Oryctolagus cuniculus: one gene and its partners. The protein of the gene in region 1 interacts with the protein of each later gene in a biochemical or structural test. Links are inferred from orthologs where the notes say so. Each region holds a gene or a part of one and is shown on either strand. Other genes may lie near its edges.

The links.
Region 2: the proteins of STX1A (region 1) and STXBP5 form a complex in vitro, tested with the Homo sapiens proteins (2 studies listed by BioGRID). The link is inferred for Oryctolagus cuniculus from reciprocal best matches to the Homo sapiens genes STX1A and STXBP5.
Region 3: the proteins of STX1A (region 1) and SLC6A1 form a complex in vitro, tested with the Homo sapiens proteins (2 studies listed by BioGRID). The link is inferred for Oryctolagus cuniculus from reciprocal best matches to the Homo sapiens genes STX1A and SLC6A1.
Region 4: the proteins of STX1A (region 1) and SNAP23 form a complex in vitro, tested with the Homo sapiens proteins (3 studies listed by BioGRID). The link is inferred for Oryctolagus cuniculus from reciprocal best matches to the Homo sapiens genes STX1A and SNAP23.

Annotation. Positions count from the first base shown.
Region 1 is NC_091450.1:50,381,417-50,385,826, forward strand, and holds the start of STX1A (syntaxin-1A), read left to right. Parts: upstream 1-1,521; 5' UTR 1,522-1,603; coding exon 1,604-1,633; intron 1,634-4,410. UniProt on the Homo sapiens protein: Plays an essential role in hormone and neurotransmitter calcium-dependent exocytosis and endocytosis.
Region 2 is NC_091436.1:20,863,212-20,867,677, forward strand, and holds the start of STXBP5 (syntaxin-binding protein 5), read right to left. Parts: upstream 2,972-4,466; 5' UTR 2,620-2,971; coding exon 2,467-2,619; intron 1,239-2,466; coding exon 1,141-1,238; intron 1-1,140. UniProt on the Homo sapiens protein: Plays a regulatory role in calcium-dependent exocytosis and neurotransmitter release. Inhibits membrane fusion between transport vesicles and the plasma membrane.
Region 3 is NC_091441.1:116,029,637-116,033,936, reverse strand, and holds the start of SLC6A1 (sodium- and chloride-dependent GABA transporter 1), read left to right. Parts: upstream 1-1,272; 5' UTR 1,273-1,462; intron 1,463-4,300. UniProt on the Homo sapiens protein: Mediates transport of gamma-aminobutyric acid (GABA) together with sodium and chloride and is responsible for the reuptake of GABA from the synapse. The translocation of GABA, however, may also occur in the reverse direction leading to the release of GABA.
Region 4 is NC_091443.1:65,544,920-65,549,349, reverse strand, and holds the start of SNAP23 (synaptosomal-associated protein 23), read right to left. Parts: upstream 2,827-4,430; coding exon 2,770-2,826; intron 2,251-2,769; coding exon 2,209-2,250; intron 1,438-2,208; coding exon 1,389-1,437; intron 693-1,388; coding exon 575-692; intron 1-574. UniProt on the Homo sapiens protein: Essential component of the high affinity receptor for the general membrane fusion machinery and an important regulator of transport vesicle docking and fusion.

The DNA of each region.
Region 1 (4,410 bases):
GAGTTCAAGGTGACAGGCCTGCATATATTCCTCTGTTCATTTTTCGTACTACTGCTTTAATATGTGCCTCCATCTCTGGGGGCAGGTGCAGTGTCTCCCCTTTTCCCCAAAGAGCCAGGCGCTGGGCTCTGGGGCTGCAGGCTCGCTGTCCCCGGAGCCAGGCGCCTCCCCCGCCACTGGGCCCCGTCACCCAGAGCAAGTGCCTGTAGCAGGTGAGTCTTCGCTTCTCCTCTGACAAGCGCGGCCTTTGGAGCACTCACGGTTGAAGCCTGGACAGCTTTTCGCAAGCAGTGCGTCTGTCTCCCAGGCCAGACCACATCAGAGGCCAGCTTGTCCGGGAAGAAGCGAAGGCTGGCATGCTGCCCCCACTCCGCCTGCCAGCCAGCTCACCTGTGCCCTCAGTCTGGGACAGGCGCCAGGCTCACCAGGCAGCGGGGGCTGGGCTGGCTCCAGAGCAGAGCCTTGGCGGTCCTGGGGAGAGGGAAAAGGGGCGCGTGCTTGGCTTGGGGTCGAGGGTCTGGGCCATTCCAGCCGGGGGCCGCCACTGGGATGCTGTCACAAGGAGAGACAGAGCCCTGGAGGGAGCATCTGTGACTAACCAGCCCCTCTCCGCCCCTCCCCAGGTGCTGCTCGTCCCAGGCCCAGCGGCCCCGGCTTGTGGACAGGCAATGGGGTCTTCAGGCCCACAGCTGGAGCTCAGGGCAGGAGATGCAGGGAAAGAGGAAGGGAAAGGAGAGGAAGTGCTATTGGGCCTGGGGCCGGTGCTTGGTGTAGCAGGTAAAGCGGCCGCCTGCAGCGCCGGCATCCCATATGGTCGCTGGTTCGAGTCCCGGCTGCTCCACTTCCAATCCAGCTCTCTGCTATGGCCTGGGAAAGCAGCAGAAGATGGCCCAAGTGCTTGGGGCCCCTGCACCCACGTGGGAGACCTGGAAGAAGCTCCTGGCTCCTGGCTTCGGATTGGCACAGCTCCGGCCATTGCGGTCATCTGGGGAGTGAACCAGCGGATGGAAGACCTCTCTCTCTGCCTCTGTCTCTCTGTAACTCTGTCAAATAAATAAACCTTAAAAAAAAAGAAAGCAAAAAAAAAAAAAAAAAACCATCGCCCCCCAAGGATCGAGGGGTTCCTGCATCCTGCTGGAACAGCCAACGCAAGGGTGAGTTGGGGGTGGGGGTCGCCCGCACTCGTGAACCGAGAGATCCTGGGGCAGAGGCTGAGTCTGCACGAGGTGGTGTGACCAGTGGGAGGGGCCGGGGCCCCGCGTCGGGGGCGGGGTTTGGGCAGGGGGCTGCTGCACGGAGTTCCAACCGCAGCTGGAAGGGCTCACTGAGCGGGGGAGACTAGGGGCCCAGGTCCGGGGTGCAGAGTGGGGAGGTGGTCGGGGCCGAGGCCGGGGAGGCCGCAGGGGATCCAGCGTCCAGGTCCCAGCTGGGACAAAAGCCCAGGGCCCCCGGGCTCTGGGAGGGTGGGGCGGGGCGGGGCGGGGCCGGGCCGGGGTCCCGGGGGCCGGGGCGGGGCCGCGCTGGCGCTGCGCAGCCGCGGGGCGGCCGCCGCGCATGCGGGGCTCACAGGGCTGCAGCCGGTGCCGCTGCCACTCCCGGGAGCATGAAGGACCGAACCCAGGAGCTCCGCACGGTGAGTGCGGCCCCGCGCGCGGCCGCTCCTCGCCCGCGCCAGCGCCAGCGCCCCGGCTGCCTCCAGCCCCCGGCCTCCCGCGGCCCCTGCGCCCCCGGCCGGGGAGGGGGGAACCCTGAGCCCCCTGCTCGTCCCGCCCCTTCGAAACCCTTCGGGGGTCCCCGGCTCCCGCGCGCCCGGACGCCTCGGCCGGCGGGCTGGCGGCCGGAGCCCGGGGTCCTGGACAAACTTTGCGGCTCCCGGTGCCTGGGGGGAGTCGGAGGGTTATCGGGGTGGCGGTGGCGGGACGGCGCCCGCGGAGCCGATCCCGCCCGCATCGCCACCCCCTGCACACTCCGCTGACCCCGCCGTGTGAACGCGCGCCGGGACCGCGGGGGGACACCCGCCGGGGACGGTGCCCGGGCGCCGCCCCTCCCCCATCACCTGTGGCTCCCATCACCTGTGGCTCCCTGTCCTGCCCGGGCGCGGTCGGGACCCTGTCTCTGGGCGCCCTGGGGCTGCGAGGGATCGCACCCACCCCACCCACCCACCCACCTAGTCCACCTTCCGGGGCTCCGCGGTGCGACTCCCACCTGGATCTTATTTTTCCACCTGTGTCTCCGAGGCCCCTGGGCTGTGGCTCCTGGGGCGGGGTTCCGGGGCAAGGTTCTGGGTCGGCGCCCACCTCTTTCAGCCCGGATCAGGACTTCTGCCCTGCTGCTCCTCACCCTCAAAGCCGCCTCTGCCTTTGGAGATGGCGGGGAGGGCCCCTGGGGGGCAGTGAAGGAAATGGGGTCATGTAATGGGGGGCTCAAGACTGGCTTGGGTCTCCTCTGATGCCCCGGCTAGCGACCACCCCCTGCACACCAGTCCGTGCCCCCCACCCACCCCACCTGCCTGGCCTCCAGATCTGTGTCATTCCTGGCCGAGCGCCCAGCCCCAGGGGCAAATCCCGTGGGGTTTCCAAGGAAGCAGCCGGTCCCTCCTGCGGTCCTTGGTCCCCGGACACTTCCCCCCAGCCCTTTCGGTTGCTCTCAAGGTTCCTGTGATGCGGCAAGTCGGTGGGGGCACCGGCGTGGCGAGGGTTGGCTGCGTGAAGCGCCTGCTCCTGCTTGCGTGTCCCTTGGGTCCGATGAGGGTGCAGGGGAGCCTCTGGCTTGTCCCTATGCTGGAAGGGAAACCGAGGCACAAGGAGACGGGGTGGGGGGGGCTGCCTGCTGGAGGCAACGGGGTGTGGGGAGGGACTTGGCCTGGTGGCTGGGACTGGGGGGCCCCAGGAGAGCTTGAGTGGTGAGAAGCAGGGACCCAGAAGTTGTCTGTGATGTGAGTCCCTGTCCCCAGTCCACGTGTACACACACACACACACACACACACACACCTGCCTGAGCCCTGGCTGGCGAGCCTGGCTTGCTCTGAGTTATCTGATGTTTTCCCTGCAGGCATAGACCTCCCACCAGCCCCTGGTCGCTGTCCTCCAGTTTCTAACAGCCTCGAGGGGGTGGGGCGAGAGGCAAGGGACAAGGGGCGGCTGGCCAGAGCTCGCACTGGGTGGGCTGCAGTTTTGAAGGGTTTTCCACGAGGAAACCCCAGCTCTGGGGGCGAGGTGCAGCCACAGGTGTTGGACCTATGGCTGCACATTCTGGGGGAGACCTTGAACTCCAGGAATCAGGATTTGCAGCTCAGAAATGAGGAGCGGCACTGGCTGGGCTGGCCGGAGCTGGGGTTCAGGACGTGGCTGTGCGCCACCCCCAGCCCGCCCTCCTCCTCCTCCTCCTCCTCGCTCACCCAACATCGCCACCACATTTGGAAGGAAGGCGAAGGGAGCTTATTTATAAAAGTCACACTTGGGGAAGGAGCTGGCGTGCTTCCTCCGTGCTCCGCGGGCCGGGCTCAGCCCTCCAGCCTCCTCCTGCCCCCGCCTGCCTCTCTCTCTGAGGTTCCTTTCCATTCTGCAGGGGGAGAGTGAAGAGGGCTGTGGGAGCGGGGCCAGTGTGGGGCTTCAGCCCCTGAGACCAAGGCCTCAGGTCAGAGAGGCCTTCCTGGGGGTGCAGGGAAGCCACACAGCCCCGGGTGGGGTGGGCACTTTCAGGGTAGGATGTCCCCTTACACTTAGAAGCCTCCCTGATTTTCTTTCTGGGGCTTTACTGGAGCTGCTCCACACCCCTCCTCCGGTCCAGAAAGGAGTTCACCTGCATGCCTGGCAGGCTTCCTGGAGGAGGAAAACTTGGGATGGTCCCAAGGAGGAGGAGGAGCCCAAGCCGAGGGGATGGAGGATGCCCCTGAGGTCCAGAAAGGGGCCCGGCTCCCCCCCTCCCCACGCCTCTCAGGGCAGGTCAAGAGGCCGCAGTGGGGGGCAGCACCAGGCAGGTCTGGTCGGTTCTGCACCTGTCCAGTGGAGCCTCGCAGAGCAGGCACGGGGCAGGGTCTCCCGACACCCCCCTCTCCTTCCCCGCGGCTTCCCAGAATGAAGTAGGATCTGGCTGCGGAGAGACGGTGCCATTGGGGACCGGCTGGTCTCACCGCCTAGCCTACGGATCAGAAAAGCCAGGTTCAGAAAGGGCCACGGGTTCATCTGAGGTCACACAGCACAGCCCGGTGCCTTTTCCCCGGACCCGAAGCTGCCGCCCCCATGCTCTTGGGACCTTGCGAAGGGGCAGCCTGTGCTAAGCAGGGAGCTGATGTAGCAGGCCTGGTGGGGGGTGGGGGTGGGGGTGAGGGCTTTGAGCGCCCTCCTTCCTGGAGGCCCAGCCCCTGTATCAGCCCTGGGCCTCTGCACTTGATATTGACTTGGGTTAGCC
Region 2 (4,466 bases), on another chromosome or scaffold:
GTCCTGATACCGTAGAATACTTCTTTGAAATAAGCTTGAAAGATCAGGAGTAAAATACTTGACACAATTTAACTCAAATGCAGATAAATCTAAAATGTAAAGGGATAAAACTTCTCACCCACTTCCATTTTTTTGACAATGTCTACTGGGATCACCTACTAATTTTTTATCTGTTCATTATCAGCACAATTCCTCAATAATATACGGAGGTATATATCCTACAGATGGCCGAACAAAGCATTTTTTCTGTTTAATTTTAAAAATAAGAGTATTTAGATTAAATATGGTTAAATGTCATAGAGAAAGCAAACACAAATTTTATTTCCAAACTGAACAGTAGGAAAGTAAAAAGCAGTCTCTATTGTTCAGGCTAAAATAATGATCTTGAAAAACATTTTTTAAAATATTTAACAAAATGCTCATAATAAAATTATCATAGTTAACACGTATCCAGGAAGATTCTTTTCTATACTAACACTTAAATGCAAAACTAACCTAATAGTTTGTACATGTACACAACAAATGTAGACTATAAAAGGGAAACTGTGCAGAGAGCACATTCATACCTACGCATTACACTAAAAAACCTCTAAAACTTGCAGAAATATTAACCCTTCATAACTACTCATAGAGCATCATTGCATTTGTTCTCTGCTAATGATTTTTCTACATGGACATGTTGGAAACAACCACAATCAAATTCAAATTGAACCTATAATTCATTAGAAAAACACACATCTTAAGTTCAATGTCCACCATGTACAATATTTTAAGAAGCAAATAAAATGAACATCGTACTACTATCTTTATGACTCTCCCTTAACATACCCTTTGCAATAGACCACTAGTATATGAGCACATCTATTTCCCCTCAGAAATGTCTAGCCTGTTGCAAAAAAAGTAACTAGAGCAAAACTTTACATTTCTATTTTGATACACATTTATCTACTATAAACTGAACATAGAGACATCAAGGCCACATACAACGCACAAGTAAGTATAATCAAGGGAAAAACAAACACCACACCTTGTCTTTGGAATTAAACAAAAAAAGAAAATTTTCTTTGGAACTTATCAGCAACACAGAAGGACTAAGGGGCACAGAGTAAAAATTAAAAAATAAAATTAAAGAAAGGATACAGCCTTAAAGCACCAGTCTGAGTTCCCACTGCCAGGATCTTCTGTACAGGATCAAAGGCCAGGGCTGAGGGTTGATAGGGGAATCCATGGCGCACAGTCTAGGGATGGGCAGGTGACATCACAGCAACCAAGGCAGCAAGCAAAATTTAAAAATAGAAATGTCAACAGAGGCATTAGAATTCAGAAACAACTGTATAATCTAATCGAACACATACACATGCACTTACTGCTTTACAATTTTTTTAAAATGGAATCTACCTTAACAAAGTAATTCACATGGAACCTGAAATAAACAAACACCTCAGTGTGACACATTACATTCTGCTTTTCCTTAACACTGGTAGAAGAAAATTCTCATTAATATTCATATTAAGTCTGACACCAAATTATAAAAGTCTGCAGAGGTATAAAATTCTGTAAATTTGTTTTCAAGAGCAATCACTTTATCATTACTTTATTTGGATGCTAAATCCAAGTACTTCCTAGGAAAAGCTGCCATATAATTACTTCTGCCAAAATATTGCTAAAGCAATTACTAAGCCTCCACCCCAACATTTTTCAACTGTAAAAGAACGAAAATGGGTACAACATATACTCATATTTTTTGCAACTTACTATTAAGCAAATAATAATTTCAGGGATTTGGGGCAAAACATTTACTCTTTAAGAAACTCTTCCAAAGGAAGGCATGACTGTTTAAGAGGAAGGCAGCTATTAATTGCAAAACAACTTTGTAGTGCTCATTGAGCAGTGGGTGAATTAATTCGCTGCATCATTCTCTCTCAATTACGGCATGCTAAGGCACTCAGTGTGCCATTAATTGGCAAAAATAACAGTACTAACTCTTTAAAGAAACAGAGTGATAAAAAAAATCTGCGATTTCATAGTGTAAGCTCCTCCAATCCATTTTAAGGGAAAAGTGATGAACAAAGATCTGGTTGAACAGGTTTGGCTTTTGGATAAACAATATTCATTAGACACTGTTTCCAAAGGGAAACTTGGAAGTTGGTGAATTACATTAAAATGCTTGGCTATAGAAGCTTTCAGATTATTGCCAGCACTGTCAGGATACGAATTAAATGTTAGATAATGCGTCTGAAGCAACCTTGAACCGACTGCTACGTGTGAAAACGAGAGAGGGAGGGAAAAAAAAAATCAGCGAAAAGGAGTAAGATCCAATGTCCAAAATAACGCACCCAGGAAGCATTTGCTAGCGGTAGAGCCGGCCCTTTATTAAAGCTGTCGGACGCTCTCTTTCCAAGTCAGCGCCCCCCAAAACGACCCCGACTCCCCAAGACGGCGTCGGGGGCTGCGCGCCCGGCTCACCTTGCAGAGCTGGAAGTGCTCGGACTGGAGCGTTTCCTGGATCTCGGGCTCCCGGTTCCCAGGCGGGTGCTGCTGCTGCTGCTGCTGCTGCGAGGACGACGACGAGCCGGCGGTCAGCCCGTCCAGCACCTTCCTGATGTTGAATTTCCTCATGGTCTCGGCGGGAGGACAGGCGCCGGGGGTCCCCGGCGGGGTGGACGGGCCGGAGCCGAGGGCAGCTTCGACCGCGGACCCAGAAGAGTGCGAGTGTGAGGGGAAGGAGAGGCGGCAGCTGGGGGGTTGGGGGGGGAAGCAAAAGATAATCCGAACAGGAAATACTGCGACGACGAGAGCGCGGCGGCCGCGGGAACACCGCGCGGCGACCCCTCTTCCTCCCGGGCGGCTGCTGTGGCGCCGCGGCCGCCTCCTCGCTCCGCGGCCCGGCGGCGGCGGCAGTGGCGGAGGCGCCCGGAGCCCGCTCTGCCCAGCCTCACCTGGCCGCGGGCGGGCTCTGCGCCGCGCCGCCACCCCGGCTCGCCCCCGCCGAGTCCATGGCCCGCGGCCCCGCCACTCCTCGCCCGCCCCGACCCCGCAGTCCCCTCGGCGCGTCCTTCCCGCTCCTGTTCCTCCTCCTCCTCTTCCCGGGGGTCGACGGTTCTCGGTCCGCGGCCGCCGCTCGGCCTCCCCGCCGCTCAGCGCCGCTGCCCGCCCGGCATCGCACGCCAGGCGCCCGGGGTGGGTCCCCGCGCCGCCAGCCTCGCTCCGCCTCGCTCCTCTGCCGCTGGACCGGCCTGCCCTCGCTTCTTCAGAGCCCCGGCTGCCTCCCCGAGGCGCCGCCGCCGCCTCCGGCTCTCCCCTCCCGGCCGCTCCCTCTCGCCTGACAGGGCGCCTCGGCACACGGCACCGACCCCCGGCCGGAGCAGCGGCGGCAGCCGCGGTTACAGCGCCGGCGGTGGCGGTGGCGGTGACGGCGGCGGCGGCAGCTGGGCCTCCGCGGAGCGGGGCTGCTGGGCATGCGCACACGCGCCGCAGCCTCCCCCCCCCCCCCCGCCACCTCCACCCCCTTTTTGCCCCCCAGCCCCAAAGCCCCCAGCCGGAGCGAAGCCGGGGCTTAAATTATCCTCCTCGCAAATCCCAGACGCTGGCTAAATTTCTGCCTCCGCGATGGCGCTGCCAGAGTGTGCAGCTGCTGCTTCTGCAACTGGCATAGTAAAAGTGTTGACGACTAACAAGCCGCAAGAAGAGCTTCATTTCGGATTCGATGAGGAAAGCGGGGGTTTGAGCGTTCACCCGCTAATGAAACACTGGTCCTCCCCGCCCACCCCCACCCCGCGGCCCGGGGCTGCAAGACCATTCTTGCTGCTTTATTTTTGGTGGGCTTTGTGTGGGATTGATTGGGGTTTAGGTTTTGCCAGCGTCTTGGCGACGATTATGTCAGGGGCGAGAGGATGGCAGACGCGGCGAGGTACTGGGGGAGAAGCGGAGCCTAGAGGGAAAACGCGGACTCTGCCCCCGAGGCGGCTCCCGGGGGTGGAGCGCGTCTGGCGGCGGCAGACAGCTGCTGGGCCGACCCGCGACCCGCCTCGCCACCCGAGCCCCCGGCCCGCCCGGCGGCGGGGACCCCGTGCTGCCGCTCATTTTCGGGACCCGGGTGCGCGCTGTTAACGCTGAGGTCCTGTCAGTAACGCCCGGTGTGCTCTCCACTGTGGAGAGGGAGACTGGATGAAGTTTCCGCTCCTCGGAGGCCGGGAGACACCGTCTGGGTCAAGTCGGGAGAGGCTGACAGATACCCCCCGCACAATGCGTTCACTGAGGAAGGGCGGTGGGAAGCAGAGGGGCTGCAGGGCGTGGAAAATAAGAGACATGAGGGAGGGAAACAAAGAGGAGCTCCAACTTGGGAGATGCGGGGAGGACGGACGATCTATGGGCTAATAACTCCTCTCCCTGCGGTCCTGCGAAAAGACACACAACAGCTTCTCGGGGTTGTTTTCTGTTCCGAACCGAAATCAAGTGCCCGCCCA
Region 3 (4,300 bases), on another chromosome or scaffold:
CGGGTGGACTCCATGCTTGTGGGAGGCAGCATGGCGAGAGAGAAGCTAGTGTGGCCCTCTCAACCAGTGTTTTGCAGGACCCCAGAATAGATGCAAGGGGATGGGGGTGTGCCACAGTCAGCGAGTGGCAGCCCTGCGGTCAGAGAGATGAGGGGAGAGGCCAGGGCTGGAGAGAAGGTGGCCAGGGCCCCAAGTGCAGGGCCTTTGCAAAACAGGGCAGGTGGCCAGCACGTGGCAGTGGGGGAGGGGGAGGCGAAAGTCCTTGAGGGCTGGGCTGGGGTTGGCTGTAGGGGAGGCCGCTGGGGCAGCCCTCAGATTTCCAGATCGGGCAGGGTCTGCAGGTGCGCTGTGGTGCAGTGGGTTAAGCTGCTGCCTGTGAAGGCTACATCCCATATGAGTGCTGGTTGCAATCCTGGCTGCTCCACTTCTAATCCAGCTCCCTGCTAACGTGCCTGGGAAAGCAGTGGAGGATGGCCCAAGTGCTTGGGCCCCTGGGAGACTCACATGAAGCTCCTGGCTCAACAGACCTGGTGTTGCGGCCATCTGGGGAGTGAACCTGAGGATAGCAGATCTCTCTTAACTCTGCCTATCAAATACATAAAATAAAAAAATCCTTGCAGACCTAGAAGGAGGAAGAAGACTGGGGCTGTGCTGCTGCCCGGAGCAGCCTGCAGATCCTGCTTCCCTGTCACCTGTTCCCCATCTGTCCATGCACCCCCTGGCCACGGTCTCCGTGGCCCACCACACCTGTCCCAGGAGCAGGCCTCAGGTAGAGCAGCCCTCCCCCAGCCCCCAGCTCAGCAGGCAGGGAGGGGGCAGGCAGGCGGCTGCCTGGTCACAGGGACCACAGGGAGAGGGGAGGGGGCCGCAAAAGAAAAGCTTAGAAGGTGATCCAAGGAGGGCCCAGGGAGGAGAGGGAGCGGAGCGAGAGGGAGAAGGGGGGAGCGGCAGACGGAGGAGGGGGGAGGGGAGGAGGGGGGAGAAAGAGAAGGAGGAGGTGAGAGGAGGTGGGAGGGGAGGGGTTGGGAGAAGGGGGTAGAGATAAGGGGAAGGAGGGGGGAGGTGGGGGTAGAGGGAAGGGAGTGGAAGTGAGAGGAGGGGGAGGTGGGAGGAGAAGGATCTAGGAGGGGGAGGTGGGAGGCTAGGGACCGGTGGCAGGCTGGGAAGCTCTGAGGCGGCGGCGGCGGCGGCGGCGCGGGCAAGCCCCTCCCCCGGCGGGGCGGGCTCCCCGAGCCGGCCCCGCCCCCACCGCGCCGGCCTCGCCTTCGTCCTAGCTGCCCCGCGTCCCTCCTCCCGCCCTCGGAAGAGCGAGCGAGCGGCGAGGTTCCGGGCGAGCTGTGTCGAGCCCAGGAGCCGAGGAGCGGGGAACGCAGGCGTCCCGAGCCCGGAGCGGCCCCGCGCACCGGAGCGGCCGAGGCTCCCCGCGCAGCGCCCGCCGCGGGCCGCGCAGCCCCGGCCGCAGGTAGGAACGCGCGGCCGGCGTCGGGGCGCGGAGGACGCAGGGACTGCCCGGGCGGGACGCGCCCGAGCCCCGAGCCCCGAGCCCCTGCCGCGGGCTGGGCTGGGCGGGTGGGGGGCGGGCACCCCAAGACTCCGGCCCATCGCGTCGCCCCTGGCTTGTGACCCAGCGTGTGCCCGCACGAGGGGCGCGGTGACCGCATACCCCCGCCCGGTGGCGGTACCCCTCGGACCGCCGAGCAGGCGTGGATTCCGCTGCAGCCGTCGAAGCGCCCTGCGCGGTCCCAGGGGGTGGTGGGCGCGGGGAGTGAAGGTGGCAGCTGCGTTCGGGTGGCCGGGAGCCGCTGCCCGGGGCTCGGGCCGGCCGAGCCCACCTGGGGGCGCGCCATTTATCCCGGGAGGGCTTCAGCCGGGCAGAGCAGCGCCTTTGCGTTCTGGGACAGCTCCAGCTCGCCGGAATCCGGAGCCGAGCGCACCAGCGCGCGCGCCGCGTCCGCCCTACTTTCCCCTGGGGCTGTGAGCTCCCTGCGTGCGGGCTGGAGTTCTTGTGTCCGCTTGCCAGCCCGGGAGGCCACCCTCCCTATCTTGCCTTTCGTCCCCGGCGTGAGAAAAAGGGACGACGATGCCTGCCTTAGTTGCCCTGACCAGCAGCGGTCCATGCGCAGACCCCTTGTGCGCGCCCGTTTCCGCTGGTGGCACCCGCAGATGTCCTTTGCTACGCTTGGCTCGGTCTTCAGGTGAGGATCTCAGACCTGGCAGCTCCTGCACAGAGGCTCTGAGCTAAGACCCTCCCCCTGTAGACGTGAACCCCGAAGGAGAAAATTGGATTAAAAAAAAAAAAAGCCAAATAACAGCCCTCTTGCCAGTGAGGGGCTGAAGCACCTGCTCCGGCTCCCAGAAAGCTCATCCTTAAGAGGCAGGAGAGGGGGGCATAAGGGGTGGATAAAATGACGCCTGAGCTTTGGTGACAACCCAGATCAGACCGTGTCGCCTGCGTGGAATTTGGGGCCAACCTTTGTTTTTCTGCGGCATGCAGGTGGGTGTTTGGAGAAGGAGAGGGGATGTCTGGTGCTGGACAAGGCTTAGACTCTCTCTCAGGGTCCCCTGGGGGCAATGTATTCATGGGGGAATGCCTTCAAACAGTTACAAAACAAATATGGGGACTGGGGACCCACAGGCATCCTGGGAGCTGGCTCCAGCTCTCTCTCTGTGTAGAACTCTGGGAAGCCTTGAGCCAGTGGCCATCCGGTTGGAGCGCCTCCCAGGCGGAGGGAGGGCGGGAGGAGAACTTGCCCTCAGAGGTGTGAGTCCCTGGGGGAGGGAGAGGGGGAGAGGGGGAGAGGGAGGGCCCCGCCCCAGAGCAGCGGGGCAAAATGGCTGAGCCTCCCTGGCCTCAAATAAATCATCAGGCACACAGCAAACAAAGGGAGCGCTCTGTCTCCAGCCAAGCGCTGGCCCCGTGGCCAGTCCTCGGAGGGCAGACAGTGAGTCCCAGGGAGAGGCGGCGTCTGAGTGCAGGGCTTCCCTGGGAGCCACACAGGGAGGCAAATCAGGGCCTCCTCTCGCCAGGACCGCAGGTTTGCCGAGAAGTGGGTCCCCGGGAACTCGGGTGAGGGTGGGAGGGTAGAGGGTGAAGACGAGGCAAGTCGCGTTCATCTGACCTAAGCGAGCCGCCCGACAGCCTGGCTGCCCCGGGCACCCCGGGGCTCACACGCCTGGCAGCCCCGGAACGTCGAATGCTGTGTGTGTGTTTGCGCATGGCCCAGCACGCAGCAGGAACTCAACAGATGCTTTAGAGTGAAAACGGTGCTTGCAAGGACCCACCTGCCTTTCTTCCTGTCTGCTCGAGCCAGGAGGGCCGCAGGCCGGGGCCTCTGTGTCCCTGGCTGGGGCCGAGTGAGCTCTGGCCAAGGGTTTGCTTTGAGACGGGCACTGCCATTTCTTGGTTAGGTGACCTTGGGGATATGTTCTCATTCCGCTCGGAGGGAAGGGAGCAGTGAAATCCCCCACGGTGCCCGGCTCCTCATCCCTGCGGTGACCCGGCGCAGCCCATGCTGCTCTGGCCTCCACTTCAGAAGGCGGAGGACTGAGAGAGATCGGGAAGTGACTTGCCCAAGGGCGCATAGCTGGCAGGAGGCTGGGCCAGGATCTGCCCCGCGCTGTGATGCACTTGCTTGCAGGCCTCAGGCCTTGCTTCTCCTCTGTGAAGTGAGGAGGTAGGTTTGGGGCACCGAGGATGGGATTTAGAGTTGACAGTGAGGCCCCGTGGGTTTGCCTTGTTCCTCTGCCTTTGCTGGCACGAGATGTGCAGGAGCCACATCAAGTCAAGCACCAGTGTCGGGCGGCTTCTTGCCCGTGCCACAAAGACGCCGTTCCTCTTGCTTTCGGGAGACACAGGCACAGAGCCAGCCCCAGAAGCTGCAGCCTTGCCCGCCGCCTCTGCCCTCCCTGTGCCTGTGCCGGCAGGCAGGTGAGAGCCCAGGCCGGCCCCTGCGGGCTGGCCCCAGGTGAGCCTCCCTTCCACTGATGCCAAACCCAGCCCCGCTGTGGCCTGGCTCCCCAAACGGGCACTGACACGTGAGTGTCGGCAGGCCTGTCGCACCGTGTCAGAGCTGCGCCTTCATTTCAGCCGTGCAGAGCCGCCGGCTGGAGAGCAGGGGGGCAGGGCGCAGACCCTGCTGCACTGGAAACAACCTTGAACTGACTCCAGGTGCGGGCTGCAACCCCTGCCCCACCCCAGCTGAGATGCATGGCTCTGTGGTGTGTGCCTTGTGCCCACTCCCCACGTGGGTCGGGCACACATGGAGGTCGGGCACACGTGGAGGTTGGGCACACCTTTCTG
Region 4 (4,430 bases), on another chromosome or scaffold:
TCTCAGGTTCATCCAAATTCCTGCTAATCACTGAAAGCCTAACTCATCTGCCACCTCTTCTGTAAGATGTTCTCCAGCCCAACCTTTATCACCTTTCCCCCTATACTTAATTGATATCATATGAGCTAACACTAGATTTACATATTTTCTGTTTTTTCTTCATACGCCCAACAACATAGCAGTCTTTTGAAAACAAGGCCCAAGTCCTTTATTCCTTTAGCCATCTCTCAGGAGCCTATCACAGAACACATACTCGAGTTTTATTAACTTCCCTTGTTTGAAACGAAAGACACTAACCCCATCCAGCTCTGTATCGTTCAAATACGTATTTTCCAAAATTTTTGTATTTTACTACAAATTAAAATTGGAAATCGCTCCCAGTATTGGCCAAAAGTAAGCCATGGTTTTCAATGAACATAGCTATTCGCATGAAGCACTCAATCTGCCAAAAGAAGAAATATTTTAAGTTTACCTAACAAACATCCTCATCTAGGTCCAGTCATACTTCTAACCTTACTTGGGAGGAGATGCTCTCATTTACTGATTTTGAAAAAAACTTGATTTATCCACTCACCTATTACATGGGCAGACACAAAGGCCACAGCACTTGTTGAGTTCTGTTAAGGTCTTCTCTGCCTCTCTCATGTCTTTATTTATCTGGTCCATGCCTTCTTCTATGCGGTTTAGTTGTTCTAAGAATAAAGTGTTGAAGGTACATTTTCTGTTACAGTATCAACAAGAAAACGCCATAGTGGAATAGCAAACTTCAACTTCAAATCTACCAATACTATACCACAAAGAATAAATCTATCAGTGTCAGAAGATATTACAAAATGTTCAACATGAAGACACTCTTACACCCATACTGACAATGGCTTATAATTGTGGAAGGATCTATTCTAAAGAAATCTGTACACCAGGAGCATGTGAAGATTTAGCACCCTCCCAATGCAAGCAAGTGTACTCTGACCACATCAGATCCCCAGCATTCCTATCACTTATTATGCTTGAAACTTGAGGTGACCACAAGACTAATCAAAAACAGATGAGATTTCTCAAGGCCAACTCAAATCAAATGTTCCCAAGTTAATCTGAATCTAAATCGGTTTTAGGACTTAACTTTGATTTCTAGGGTGAAGTAAGAATGCATAGAGGCCTGATGCACACAATAAGCCATGCTGGCCTAACACATACTTGGTATATAGTTGGTCACTGCCCCCTGTGCTAACCAGGCAATAAACATGATGTCATTCAAATCAGAAGTAAACACATCACTCATCTTACAAAGTTAAGGCATTCCCAAAGGAAAATCTATACAGGGCTGATTTGATAGAACATTTTGGCATTGTAAATCAATTTAAGAATTTCTGTCAGTAACTTTAACTCACCCCCTTGTTCATCCAGCATAGTGATGGTCTTGATTCCTGCATCCTGAGACTAAAACAAAGAGGGAAAATACCAATAGTAAAAAATAAATTAATTAATTAAATACCCTAAACCAACAGAAATAAGACCTTAAAAGGGCTGACAAATAGCAAGACTAGAATCATTTGGAAATTCATCCTCAGAGGATCGAAGCTACAGATAGAACTAGCATTCTTTTTTTTTTGACAGGCAGAGTGGACAGTGAGAGAGAGAGAGAGACAGAGAGAAAGGTCTTCCTTTTGCCATTGGTTCACCCTCCAATGGCCGCCACGGCCGGCGCACCGCGCTGATCCAAAGGCAGGAGCCAGGTGCTTCTCCTGGTCTCCCATGGGGTGCAGGGCCCAAGCACTTGGGCCACCCTCCACTGCACTCCCAGGCCACAGCAGAGAGCTGGCCTGGAAGAGGGGCAACCAGGACAGAATCCGGCGCCTTGACCGGGACTAGAACCCGCTGTGCCAGCGCCGCAAGGCGGAGGATTAGCCTACTGAGCCGCGGTGCCGGCCAGAACTAGCATTCTTAAATCAACACACTTCAACATAATATCCAAAAATAATTAAGTCAAAAACTTAAAATTAATTCATCTTTCCAAGCATATTCCAATACCATCACAAAGGGAAAAGCAGAAAAGGCCAGTTAGCACATGGTTTGACAATTTCAGTAATTGCAGGTTTCAAATAATAAAGTATATTGATAGAATGTGCTTTAGCAGCAACTCCAGCTAGTGCTATCAGGATCCCTCCTATAAACTTCTGTATTTAACTTGATGATTAAACACTTTCTTACCTCAATGGCTAAACCCAGGATTCTCCTTGTACTTTCCAGAGACTAGGAAAAAAATACAGTTTTAGTTTAAACATTTCAAAATATGTAGCCAAAAAAAAAAAAAAAAAAAAACACAGACTATATTCAGAACGTTATTCTGTTTAAAAATCACTAGCCCATCCCTCCCTTTAAAACAAAATCAAGAAAACTGGTCACTGTATTTTCAGTTATTCTTATCAAGTCCTTCTTAAAAGAAAATTAGGATGGTACACTTAAAGGGGTTCATAAAAATTTGATGAAGACAGAACTCTAAGAATATTACACAGATAGTAGGAAATAAATAAAAAATCCAGAATTCTTCAAATTTAGAGTATCTTTGTTGTGAGTAACTGTTAAGCAATGACTATCTGGAAAAACCATGCGAATTATCTTCCCTTACTTAGTGTTTCTGGTGAGTTGATGAAAAGCAATGAGCAATGAATGCCACTGAGGGGCAAATTCATTCTTTGACACAAAGGGACTAGGAAGACCCTGCGCCGTGAAAACTGCAACAGGATTACTTATTCTCAATAAAGCATTTACCTCATCAGTAACCTGGTGAGCCCTCAGCTGAATTTCTTCTGATGTCAGATTATCCATGATGAATCAAAACTTTATCAGGCAAAGAAATGGAAATGTGGGTATCCTACAAGAACAAGGAAACAAAGCTTTGAGCAAAACAAAGAGGGTAGACTTATGGAATTTAGGTATTTCTTATGAAGACAAGATAAAACCCACTTTTATTTATCTATCCCACAGATAGCTGAAAAAGACTAATTGGATATTTAATGCTAGTTAGTACCAAAGATGCACATAAAACAGGTTTTAGGACTTCTACTGAAGTGTGTGTTTTTTTGTTTTTTTTTTTTGTTTTTTTTTTTTAGATTTATTTATTTTATTTGAAAGAGTTACAGAGTGAGAGGGGGAGAGACAGAGATCTTCCATCTGCTGGTTTACTCCCCAAATGGCCACAATGGCTGGGATTGGGCCAATCCAAAGCCAGGAGCCAGGAGCTTCTTCCAGGTCTCCCACATTGGTGCAGGAGCCCAAGAACATGGGGCATCCTTCCATGATTTCCCAGGCACTTTAGCAAGGAGCTGGATGGGAAGTGGGGCAACTGAGACTTGAATGGATGCCTATATGGATTCCAGCGTGTCAGGGGCAGCTTTACCTGCTACGCCACAACACCGGCCCTGAAGTGCTCTTTAAAACGGGAAGGTGGTCACCCTACTTTAAGAAGAAAGGCACTGCTGCAAGACAAGCACTTTAAGAGACTACTGAAATTAATTCTTGGTTGTACAACGTTCTTCTGGAAAAGCAGTAAGGTAATAGAGTCTAGTTAAGGAAAATAACAAATTAAAAGTCATGTGCCTAATAAACACAGGAAACATTTTAGAAATATGCCAGTTGTCCAGGTTACACATTAGAGAAAGTGAAATACTTTTATTCTAAACAAGAAAAGGGTAATGCTGGTACAGAGTTCAGAAAAGAGCTCAAGTTTTCATTAAAGCACTCTTCTCCTCCACCTGCTTGTATTGTTCATAGTGTTAGTAACATCCTAAGAAACTGAAGAACTAGCCTTTCTATATCCCACCTTTGAAAGAGAGGCCTTACAGACACTGAAGCTAAAATACACAATATCTAGTAGGTGCGATCCAGTATCATTCTTGTGTATTCTCCTTTGAGAAGTCACATAAATAAACACTATGCAACAGATCTAGCTTTTCTTCCCAATACACAGATTAGATTTGCATTACATTTTTTTTAAAAAAAATCTATTCATTTATTTGAAAGATAGAGTCACAGAGAGACAGAGGCAGAGAGAGAGAGAGAGTTCTTGCATCTGCTGGTTCACTCCCCAAACAGCCATAACAGCTGAAGCTGGGCGGATACAAAGCCAGGAGCCTGGAGCTTCTTTCAGGTCTCCCATGTGGGTGTAGGGGCCCAAGGACTTGGGCCATCTTATGCTGATTTCCCACATGCATTAGCAGGGAGTTAGATTGGAAGTAGAGCAGCCAGGACTTGAACTGGCCCCTATATGGGATGCCGGCGCTGCAGGCTGTGGCTTTACCCGCTACACCACAGTGCCAGCTCCTATACTTTTTTTTTTTTCAGAATGTTTATTATTTATTTTTGTCTTTTTTAAAGAGTGACAGAGAGAGATCTTGAAAACTGATTTATCAAAGCCCTTTTGTCAATGATAC